Linked DNA regions of Ovis aries. The protein of the gene in region 3 interacts with the protein of the main gene of each other region in a biochemical or structural test. Links are inferred from orthologs where the notes say so. Each region holds a gene or a part of one and is shown on either strand. Other genes may lie near its edges.

Region 1 (2,950 bases), on a different chromosome or scaffold from region 3:
CTCTTGCTCCTCCTGCATTGGCAGGCAATTCTTTACCACTGTGCCACCTGGGAAGCCCCCTAGGTACTCTATATGAGTATTTGTGTCTGTATCTGTTTTCCTCTAGTTACTCAAGTTTCTTCTTATTCTTGGTTGACCGCCTGCCAGTGCATATTTGTAAACATGTTTGTGTAATTTTGTGTTTCTCTGTCTGAATTTGTGTCTCTGTATTTGTGACCAAGAGTGCTTGAGTTTGTCCATTAATTAAGGAGTCTGTAAAAAAAAAAAAAAAGAGTCTGTTACTTTGGGAAATAGGGAGGATCTCTGTGTGACCTTGTGAGTATCTATGTGCTTATTTCTCACTAGGGGTTTCGTCGAGTCTGGCAAGTCCGCTTTTCTTTGTTTGCCTGTCCTTGTTGTCTTTGAATCTGTTCACATCTACCCTCTTTAGTGAGGGGAGAACTCCAAGACCCCACGAAACCCTCCTTTTTACACAAGCTGAGTTGCCTGGGAGAAGGGCCATATGACAGCCAAGTGGAGACAAGAGGAGACAGAAGCATGGTTACAAAGTTTTATGTGATCTGAGCCCCACTGGAGGTGCCAGGGTTCACACTCTGTTCAAGGGGCATAAAGGACTGGCTCGGGGGCGGGGGGCAATATGGCCCCCAAAAGAGGGATATTGTCCTCTGGGGAAAGGAGGCATCTTTATTGCATTGCACAGGTTTGAGGGGGCACACCCCCAAGTGAAAGGAAGAGGAAGCAGAGGTGGCTAAGAAGGGAAGGGTCACACAGGATAAAACTATAAGGTAAGAACCTCAGAATTTTACTTTAGAATTCTAGACCTTTAGAATCTTATAACATGCGAATCTTGGAACTCAGAATCGTAAGACTTAGAACCATGAATTCCTAGACCCTTAACTAAAATCCTAGAAAGAGAAGATGCAGCATAGAACTTAAAGGTGTCCAAAATTAAAAATGATTAGAACTTTGGCATCCAGTTTGTCACCACTAACTGTGGAATATCTATACCATAGATGCTGAGGATCCAGAATCTTGGACCAACAGGATCTAGAGTGCCTTGGAACACAGAACAGAACAACATTAGAATCTTAGAGTTTAATAATCTAGAATCTTGAAGCATATGATCTAGAATCTTAGACACAGAGACTCTAGGTTCTTAGACTAAGCCTTAGAACATCACATCTTAGAACATTAGACCTTAGAAGAACCTCCATCTTTAGACTATTAGAACTTTTGAATTGCAGATGCTAGCATTTTAGATCTTTAAGATCCACAGTCTCATAACAAGGGTTTCGAGGATCATAAAGCCTTAGACTCTGTCACTGACCATCATTAGAATCTTAGAACTTGAGAAGATCAAATCTTGTGGCTTATGATCTGGAGTCTTAAAACCAGAAAAGTTATACTCTAAGAGGCTCAGAACTTCAAATTTTAGAACATATGACCTTAGAACCTCCATGTCTAGAACTGTAGGATTTTTAGAATTGTAGGATCTAGTATCTTACACCCTCAGGACTTAGAACCCTAGAAAAATAAAATCTAAAATCACAGAGCCTTAGATTCTAGAAATAGAATCTTAGAGCTTTGTAACCTAAAATTTCATGGGCTTTATGAAGAATCTCAGGACCAGAAAAATCTAGGGCCACAGCATCTCAGAGCCTTAGAATGTAGGCCTTAGAACTTCTGTGTCTAGAACCTTAGCACTTTAGAATTAGAGACTGGAATTCCAAGTCTTTAGAATCAAAGACTCAGCTCTGAAACTCTGAAACCTCTGAATCTAGACTCTTTAAACCTTAGAATCTAGAATCTTGGAATGTTAGACCTGGGAGGGCCCTCAGGGATTTCAGTCCAATCCCCTTCTTTTACTCATGGGGACACTGAGGTGTGGAAAAGGAAGAGGATCTGTCTGGGATGGAAGTGGAACAGGTGGGAAGAGAGGGCTCTGATTGGGGTTAAGGTCTGGAGTGGGAAAGTAGGGGGCGGGTCCCCCAGTGGCAGTGCCTAGCTTGGGTCCTGAGAGGAAGTCCCAGGTGGAGGGTGGTCTCAGGCGCCGTCCTCCTGCCCTGGGGCTGCTGGGGAGCTCCTTTCAGCAGGCAGGGTGGGGCCAGGGGCTGTAGAAGGGCAGAGGACATAGCGGCCAGCAGGATGGACTTCGGCGGCGGTGAGGCAGCTGCAGGAATCCTTAGGGTCAGGCTGAGTTGGGGGGTCCGCTCCTCCAGCAGCTCCAAGTGGTTCAGAATGACCTCCACCCTCATCCATGTTGACGTAGAGGATTTCCTCCGGCTCCTGAGCAGGGGGCAGGGCCTTCAGCGTATTCTCCAGGTCTTCCCGCAGCTCTGCAAAACTTGGCCGGTCCCGGGGGTTTAGCTCCCAGCACCGGGACATCAGGGCATACCTAGGGCAGCAGAATGAGGGGTGGGACACTGAGCAGGGGCTCAGACAGGGAGCCTCCTGGGAGCTTGGCATTTTAGGACACTCGGGACTGAGGGCATTTCATGGGAGTGGAGGGAACTGTAGCAGTTTCGAGGGGGGCACCTATGGGGATTTGGGAATTTGCACAAGTTTCTAAGGGGAGTCCTGGAACAGACACTCAGGAGCTGGAAGATGTCTTGGGAAATCTTTCTAGGTGTGGGGTGATGTTCTAGTGAGGTTTTGCTAGAGCAAAGCTTCCCAATATGGCTTCTCAGGACAGACTCTAGCATCAAAGCTTTGCAAGCTGTGTTGGTTTAAAATATGAACTCAGGACTTCCCTGGTGATCCAGTGGTTAAGAATCTGCCTGCCAATGGAGGAGACACAAGTTCTGTCTCTAGCCCAGGAAGATTCCACATGCCGCGGGGCAACTAAGCCCACGTGCCACAACCACTGAAGCCCACATGACCTAGAGCCCATGCTGTGCAGCCGCAGCTAGAGAATAGCGCCTGCTCTCTGCAACTAGAGAAAGCCCTCGCA
Region 2 (3,644 bases), on a different chromosome or scaffold from region 3:
ATCTGGAGAAAATGAGCAATCGGTAAAGACTGGAGGAAGAACTATAGGATGATAAAGGAGGAAAGAAAGAAAACAGGAGTCGTAGATGAAAAAGAAAGTTTGGGGTAGAAGTCAGACTCGCCTCTAATGACAAGGGTATTTCCACAAAAGTTCAGCTGAGGGTCGCAGCCCCCGCCAGGACAGCAGGTGTGGTGGTAGCCATCCGCTGAAACCCCAAACCCCTGTTCCCTCCCAGGATCCCCTCCCTCGGGCACTCACACGTCCTCCATACACTCCGGAGGCTGTTTCAGGCGGTTCCCGCCGATGAGGTAGTTGTAAATCTCAGCGTTCTCGATGCCAGCGTATGGCGTCTGCCCACGCGTCATGATCTCCCACATGGTCACCCCGAAGGCCCACTGGGACAGAATCGAGGTTGGGGGGAAGGTGTCACTAGGCCTCCTAGGCCAGGCAGTCTCGAAGCAAGCACATCTTGGGGCTCAGGGGCCTCAGGCTGGGACAGCCAGAGTGCAGAGGGCTGAGTGGGCCAGGCCTGGGAGAGGCTCCAGGTCCACCCACACACTAACCACAGTACTGCCCCGCCACCTGCTCACCACGTCACTGTGCACAGTGTACAGGTTGTCAGCCAGGCTCTCCAGGGCCAGCCACTTGACGGGCAGTTTGGAGGCACAGCCCTGACGATAGTAATCCCCACTGTAGATCTTCCGGGAGAGTCCGAAGTCAGCCACGCACACCGTCATGTCTTCTGCCAGCCTGGGAGGGGTTGGAGGGTGGGGTCAGCCTTCCACCAGGCCGCAGCCTTACTAAATCCACGGTGTCTTTGTCCCCAAGCCATCTCCTCACAGAGCAGATACTGTTCCAGGCGGGGCCTAGTTCTTCCTGGTACTGCTTCCTGCCTCCCACCTGAACCCTCCAGAATTCACATACATGCAGTTCCGAGCAGCCAGGTCTCGGTGGATAAAGTTCCGGGAGCTCAGATACTCCATGCCACAGGCAATGTCCACCATGAACCGGACCAGGGTCTGCAGCGGCAGGTTCTGGTGGGCAGACAGGACAGCAAACTCAGGACAGACCTAGCCAGGGCAGGAGGAAAGGGATTCCCTGACCAGGAAACCTAACAACTGTCCTCAGAATTGCTGAAAGGAAGAGAGTGGAGGGGCTTCCCAGTGCAAGGAAGCTTTGGCAAACTTGAGGGAGGGCACCCAAAAGTCAAGACTGTCCCAATCTGGGCCCCCCACGGGGCTCCTCTCCCAGGAAGGGGCCTGGGTAAGCCTCAATTCCCAGTGGGGATTTGTGAGGGAGAAGAAAGCCTGTTAGCAATAAAGGTCAGACTTAGAGCCTGCCTTCTCCCAACCTACTCAAACGGCCCTGCCCACCAAGCCAACCTCTCTCCCAGGGTTTCTGTGCTTTTCCAACCCCTGGCCACTCCCACCCCAGGCACTCACAAAGGGGTTCTCGCCAATCCGGGAGGTGAGCAGGAAGGCGTGCAGGTCCCCATGCTTCATGAAAGGCAGGATGACCATGGGGATGGGGAGACGGCCTTTGGCCCTGCTCCGGAGGCTTACCCCTGGGGACAAGGGAGAGTCAGCGGGGCACATAAAGGTCAAGGGACAGTCCAAGCATCAGCCTGGGTCCCCGCCTGCCAGTCCTACCTCTAGCCCTGGCTCTGCTACCTCTTTCCCCATAAGTTCCACACTGGGCCCAGTGACTCCCCAGGAGTCATTCTGGCTGCCCCAGAATCTCTGGAGCATCTTCTCTGTCTCCTCCTCCTGTTTACACAAGCAGTCTTCATGTACAGGGTCTACAAACTGAGCTCCTTACCTGGAGCCTGATCAGATTTCAGCCACGCCCCTCCTTGCTATTTTGGTGTCTGCTTACTCACCAGGCAAGTCTGAGCTTCTCTCCACAGGCTGCCCTAGCACCTTGGAGGAGCACAGTTTTAGCCTCATTTTACATTTACTTCCCTCAAGAAGGGACTCACCAACAAGCTTGGCCACGTGTGGGTGGTCAAACTCCTTCATGCAAGCCGCTTCCCTGAGGAACTCTTCAATGTCACTTGAGGCAATGATGTCAGCTGGGAGAAAAGGAGGGAGGGAAGGAGGGAGACGTGACCACCGTGGGCGTGGGGAAACAGTCTGGTCATGAGCAGGAGGAAACCCCACAGGCTGGTCTGTCCAACATCTCCACTCGCTCATGCCTTCTCTTTGGTTTGGACAGCCAAACCACTCAACCAACCACAGCTTTAGTCACCCCAAGTGAAACCAGAGGATAGTCACTGCTAAGGCAGAGGACAGAGGCTGGGGCACCAAGGAAAGTGGGTTTATGCCTGGGAATTATTCACGTGGCAGAGAAAGCATCCCAGTTAGCACTGACTAACACATCTTGGAAAGTCTAAGGGGCCCAGCAGAGCCTGCTTCAGAATCAGCCCCCTTTCACCTTCCCAAGTGAAACCCTCAGTTCCACTATAGTAATATTCTCCACTCACCTTTCAGCATCTTTACAGCCACTTTCACAAAGGAGCCATCCTCCTGCTTCAGTTGGGCCTCCCGCACTGAACCAAACTCTCCTAGGAACCGATCCAAACAATGGTGAGTCCCCTTGGCCTCCTGCCCCCCACCCACCTCCCCAGTGACCCTTCATAGGGACACAGTATCACTTTCTGGGGCCACTGAAGGAGGCTCCCTCATTCATAGCAAAACAAAGTAAGCTAGGAGTGATGACACCTCAGCCTTTCTCGCCCCAGCCTCCATTCCCCTAAATGTCCAGCAGCCAGGAGTTTATGAGCACATCCTGTTTATAGGAGCTGACCTATATCCACAGCCCAGAGTGACATGGAAGCAAGCAGACACACCCAGCCCTGGCAGCTCAGGCCAGTCCCTGCTCAGCCCCACATACCTTTGCCCAACATCCGGCCCAGGGTGAACTGCTGCTCCGGGATCAGCACGTCTTCCAGCTTGTCCTTCAGCTCGTCGCTGATCCCCAAGCTGTCCACTGCGGGGAGGCGGTCATAAGAAAGGGAGCGACCTCTCTGGTCCTGATCCAAAACTCAGCCTGCCTCCTCCACCCCAGACGCCACCCTCAAAGCAGAGGTAAGCTTTATTTAGCTCCCCCACAGCTGGGCCGGTGACCTCTGCGAGGATAGGTCTACGTGTCTTTTCCATGGTGTGCCTAGGACTCAGCAAGGTTCAGACCTATTGGTCAAATCAGTAAGAGAAAGGCAGGTGCAGGTTCAAGGCAGCCCATTCCTTCCTCGTAGGACTCCCCCCCACTCACTTACATGTGGCCTCGATGCGCTCAGGCCTTTCCCGATTGAAGGACCGTGCTGCCCGGAAGTGAACAGCTGGCTCCCCCCGGGCCATGACGCTGTCAAAGGCTTGCCTAAAAGGAGACCCAGGACTTGGAGTCAGCTCCAAGGTCTTCAGTCAGTGCCGGCCTCTCTCTCCATGTCCTCAGCCCTTACCCAAACCGTGTCTCCTTCCTCCTCTTTCGAAGCAGGATGAGGGCCAGGGCAGCAGCCGTCACCAGGGCTGTCAGCACGCCCAGGACCACAGGCACCCAGGATGTGCGGCTGTGGGGAGCACCCTGCTGGCCTGTGGGAGACAGGGGCAGTAGCACGAGCTGGGCTGACACCACAGAGACCCTTTAGA
Region 3 (4,265 bases):
AAGTTTTCAGAAAAGCTGGTCGGGGTCCCTGGCTGAGAGGAGACTCTGCCTCGGGCCCTAATAAACTGCACTCCGCTATCTGCACTGTCCTTCTGAGTGAGTTTGTTTCCCGGAACGCGTGGCTGCAACACTGGGAAAATTTAAGTAGCCATACGTCCGTGCCACTGGAATTCCCAGGAGAGAGGAGAGGTTTGAGGGACACGAAACAGCATCTGAAAAATAATGGCAAAATATTTTTCCAAATTCGATGAAAACTGTAAGCTCACAGATCCAAGAAGCTCTGGGACCTCCAATAACAGAATGCCACCAGCGGATTAAAGATCTGGTGTAAATCACGACTGAAGGATTTTCCGCCTCACCCAGATTTTTGACAGCAGCGCTTCTCCTCAGGACAAGCAGGAAGATTAACGTGGTCAATATTCTGTGTAAGCGCCTGCCGTTCCAAGCCGGCTTTGAGTCCCTGCTCGTGGAGTCCCGGCTGACGTGGGAGGCTAGGAACAGAGTGCGGGCTATTCAAGTGTTAATCCTCTCTGTAGCGGTTGGAGGAGCGTCCCTTTCGCTGATATTCACGTTCACTATGCCGCCTTCAGACCTTTGACCTCAAGACACCTGCCACCAGCGGCGCTCATGTCCCGCCAGGGAAGGTGGGGTGGGCGCAGGTGCGGACTGGAGGTCGGGGTGGAGGTCGGTCGCGGGCGCGTGCTCCGGTCTGGACCCCCGAGGCGGCGCCCGCCGGTTGCCCGCCCCGATTCCCCGAGGGGGCTGCTCTGCTTCGGTGTTGCTTGTGTGTGTGTGTTTATTGTGACTTTGCGAAATATTCCAGGACGAGAGACAGAAAGTCGTGGTCTCCCAGAACGAGAGAACGCTGCTTTCGGTTGAAACAGCTACTGGGAGCCCCCGAGGTCTTCCAGCGTCATCGCCGTGAAAGCAGAAAGTACGGAAGCACATCTTCTAATCTCGCTCCCTGGACCCCAGTGGGGCTCGCCTTGACTTCAGTTTCTCCCTCCTTTGGTGGGTGCATAGTCTCGAGAGTACGTGCCCCGGAATGAAGTCTTCGGAAAGGACGCGGAGATCTGGGGCGCGGCTGGGGAACGGGGCGGGGAGAGGGTGGGAGCTGGTGAATGTCCGTCTGTACCTGACAGGCTGGACTCGCGTGACCTCGTCTCCGCGCCCGCACCGCCCGGTTACATAAACGTAACCCGCGACTGGGGCGAAGCTCCCGGGCGCGGGCGCGGGGGAAGGGGGCACTCCCTCCCCGCCTTCGTCCGGAAGACCCGCTGCCCCTCGGGGCTTTGATCTTCCCGAGGAAACCGGCTCGGCCCGCCGGAGAGGCCGGCGCGCCCCGCCCGCCCCGCGCGGCCCCGAGGCCGGTCCTGCCGCGCGCCCCGCCCCCGCCGCCGCCCTCGCCCAGCCCCGCGCGAGCGCCGCGGTGCCGCCGCCGGGATGTGACCTTCAGAGCCGCCCGCTCAGGATGCCCGGAGCCACGGCCCCTCGGCGCCCGAGCCTCGCCACGGCCCCCCGGGCGCTCTGACCGCGCGCGCCCGGCCCCCCGGCCCCGGTCTCAGTGCTGGCCCTCCGCCCCGGCCCCGGCGCGCCCCGCCCCGCCGCGCCATGCCGCCCGGACCCGCCGCCGCCCTGGGCACCGCGCTGCTGCTGCTCCTGCTGGCCTCCGAGTCGGCGCACAGTGAGTACCGCGCGGGCCCGGGGCGCGCCGGGGCCGGGAGACCCCCCCCCCGAGGGCGAGGGGAGCCTCGGCGTCCGCACCCCGCGCGCCCCGGGCCCCGGCGCCGCCGCGCTGACGGCGCGTCTCCGCTCTCTCCCCGCTCCTCCCGCCCGCCCGGGAAGCCGTGATGCTGCGGGCGCGCGAGGCGGCGCAGTTCCTGCGGCCCAGGCAGCGCCGCGCCTACCAGGTCTTCGAGGAGGCCAAGCAGGGCCACCTGGAGAGGGAGTGCGTGGAGGAGATGTGCAGCCGGGAGGAGGCCCGCGAGGTGTTCGAGAACGACCCCGAGACGGTGAGCGCGGGGCCGCGCGGGGCGGCGAGGAGTGCGCCCCGGGCCTTGGGGCCGCGAGCGGGGCGCCGGGGCAGGCGTGTCCCCTGGAGCCGCGCTCCCGCGGCACCACCCTTCAGGGGACCCCCGTCTGCGCGCGCACGTGCGGGAGCCGGGGGTCTGCGGCAAACCCTCCTGCGGGCACACCGACCCTTATGCAGGGAGGAGGGCAGCGGCGGCGGAGGGGCAGGGCGCTGTGCGCCGCCCCAGCCACCCTCAGGCCTCCTCCTTTCGAGCCCCTGTTCGCCCGGTGATGCCAGGTGCCCCTCCGTGGAGGAGGGGCGGCCGATGCCCGCGGGGGGTCCTGTGGACGCCCGCAGCCTCTTACCGCGGCAGGCCTCGGAAGGCAGCCGCCTTGAGGGAAACTGCAACTCTGACAGCTCAGCCAGAAAGCAGTAGGGTCCGGCTTAACGTAAACGAAATAACTGGTTGGAGAGCAGGAACAGCTTCCTGCCTCCCTGCCCCCTTGGCCAGATTAGAGGAGGGGGTGGGGCTGTCCACAGTTCCCTATCTAGCTAGAGGCGGGAGCCTTAGCTTCAAAGACGGAGGGCTGGAGTGCCGGAAGACAGCAGGTCCCGGCAGGGAGGACGGGGAGGGCGGAGCAGGGCTGGCACACGCGGGAGGGCGGGCCAGGCGGCCGCAAGGTGCGCCCTGGGAACCGCGGAGACTGCAGGAGCCTAAGGTGCTGGCTCAGGACAAGCTTCTATTAATAATGTCGTGAAGAACGTGGGGCGACAGGCAGCCGGCCTCGGGGAGTGGCCCTGGGTGCCCTGTGCCATCTTAGGTGGGGCAGAGGCTGGGGTGTGTGCCCGGGAGCCCCCCGCAGGGAAGCTGCTAGAGGGGTGGGCTCACCCTGCCGCGCTTCGCACCCTGAGGTCAGGATGATTTCACAGCTGTCTTTGGCTCTACTGGAATATTTCTTTTAAAGAATTCTTCTGGGGTGGAATAAGCATCTCGTGCAGCAAGCAAATCAGTGTGAAGGCTGCAGGCTTTCACGTTCCTGACTGGCTGGCTTGACCCACCCCATGGTCCCCTCTGTGAAACAAGCTTGATGGCGATGGCCGAGCTGTGCCCTTCCTTGGCCTTGGCACAGCCCGCAGCTGCAGGGCTGAGCTGTGACCGGTGGCTCTCGGTCAGCAGTGGTGTGCGTCGGCCCGTTGTGAGCAGCAGTTCTGCCCCGCCCCGTCTCTTCTGCCTGTCCTGCTGGCCCCCGGGAGCTTGCTCCGCGGAGCGTTTCTGAAGGTCCCATGCGGGCTGTGTGCTGGCTGCCTGGGTTGCTGCCTGGCTACGGGGTGTGTGATAAGTGTGTTCCTGCCAGTCACAGGCCCAGCCTGGAGCGCTGGCTCCTACAGAGCACAGGATGGGGCTTGCAGGTGACCGGGCTTGCAGGTGACCGGGCGGTGAGGCCGCCTCCCCCACCAGCGCTGCTCCTGCAGGACAGAGAGGCCTTGGGCTGGACACACTGCACGCTGGCCACCGCACCCTCCCCAGAGCCTGCCCCGCCCCACTGGAGCTGTTCTCAGGCTTGTTACAGCCGTGTCTGCGCTTCGTCGCTCAGTCTTGTCTGACTGCAGTCCCGTGGACGGCAGCCCCCCAGGCTCCTCTGCCCATGGGGGGTCTCCAGGCAGGAAGACGGGAGTGGGTGGCCACGCTCTGCTCAGGAACCTCCTCTGCAGTGGGTGAGACGAGGGCAAGGACAGCGGCGGCTTTCACGCAGGGCCTTGCGCTCCCCCGGCGTCCTGCCCTCCCTTCCCGGGGGAGCTGCCTCCCACACCCGCCCCATCCACCCCGTCAGGAACGCGTGGGCTCCTTGTACATCCAAGCCGCCTGTGGTTTTTCAGAACCCTGTCCTGCTTCCTGACCCGTCCCCAAATCGCAGTCACACCTTTCCCCTTATCACCAGCTTCCCGGGTGGACCGGTGCCTTCTGCGTTCACTGAGGGGCGGTGGCTTCCGGAGGAGCCAGTTCGGTTTGGGGGTTGGGACTGGTGCTTAGGGGACTTCCTCATGTCCGGTTCTGCTCTGGTCAACCAGATGCCCCGCCAGGCGTCCACGCCATCTTTTCCCTCACATTGAAGAAGTTCTGGATTCCAGGACAGGGGGAGACCCTGCAAACACAACTCACTGCTAATAAGCCTTTGGAAAAGGAGCACGTCGAGTGAGGCAGCCCTGTGGCCTCGCCCATGGGCCCCGGCTCCTGAAAGTCTGGTCTCTCCTG

What was found.
Region 1: the proteins of GAS6 (region 3) and AXL form a complex in vitro, tested with the Homo sapiens proteins (2 studies listed by BioGRID and IntAct, with this or other methods). The link is inferred for Ovis aries from reciprocal best matches to the Homo sapiens genes GAS6 and AXL.
Region 2: the proteins of GAS6 (region 3) and TYRO3 form a complex in vitro, tested with the Homo sapiens proteins (2 studies listed by BioGRID). The link is inferred for Ovis aries from reciprocal best matches to the Homo sapiens genes GAS6 and TYRO3.

Annotation. Positions count from the first base shown.
Region 1 is NC_056067.1:49,992,575-49,995,524, reverse strand, and holds the end of AXL (tyrosine-protein kinase receptor UFO), read right to left. Parts: intron 2,396-2,950; coding exon 2,044-2,395; 3' UTR 537-2,043; downstream 1-536. UniProt on the Homo sapiens protein: Receptor tyrosine kinase that transduces signals from the extracellular matrix into the cytoplasm by binding growth factor GAS6 and which is thus regulating many physiological processes including cell survival, cell proliferation, migration and differentiation.
Region 2 is NC_056060.1:35,183,967-35,187,610, reverse strand, and holds part of TYRO3 (tyrosine-protein kinase receptor TYRO3), read right to left. Parts: intron 3,588-3,644; coding exon 3,458-3,587; intron 3,376-3,457; coding exon 3,275-3,375; intron 2,989-3,274; coding exon 2,893-2,988; intron 2,564-2,892; coding exon 2,483-2,563; intron 2,072-2,482; coding exon 1,979-2,071; intron 1,565-1,978; coding exon 1,443-1,564; intron 1,035-1,442; coding exon 925-1,034; intron 751-924; coding exon 591-750; intron 396-590; coding exon 259-395; intron 1-258. UniProt on the Homo sapiens protein: Receptor tyrosine kinase that transduces signals from the extracellular matrix into the cytoplasm by binding to several ligands including TULP1 or GAS6. Regulates many physiological processes including cell survival, migration and differentiation.
Region 3 is NC_056063.1:86,165,865-86,170,129, reverse strand, and holds the start of GAS6 (growth arrest-specific protein 6), read left to right. Parts: upstream 1-1,454; 5' UTR 1,455-1,611; coding exon 1,612-1,684; intron 1,685-1,845; coding exon 1,846-2,012; intron 2,013-4,265. UniProt on the Homo sapiens protein: Ligand for tyrosine-protein kinase receptors AXL, TYRO3 and MER whose signaling is implicated in cell growth and survival, cell adhesion and cell migration.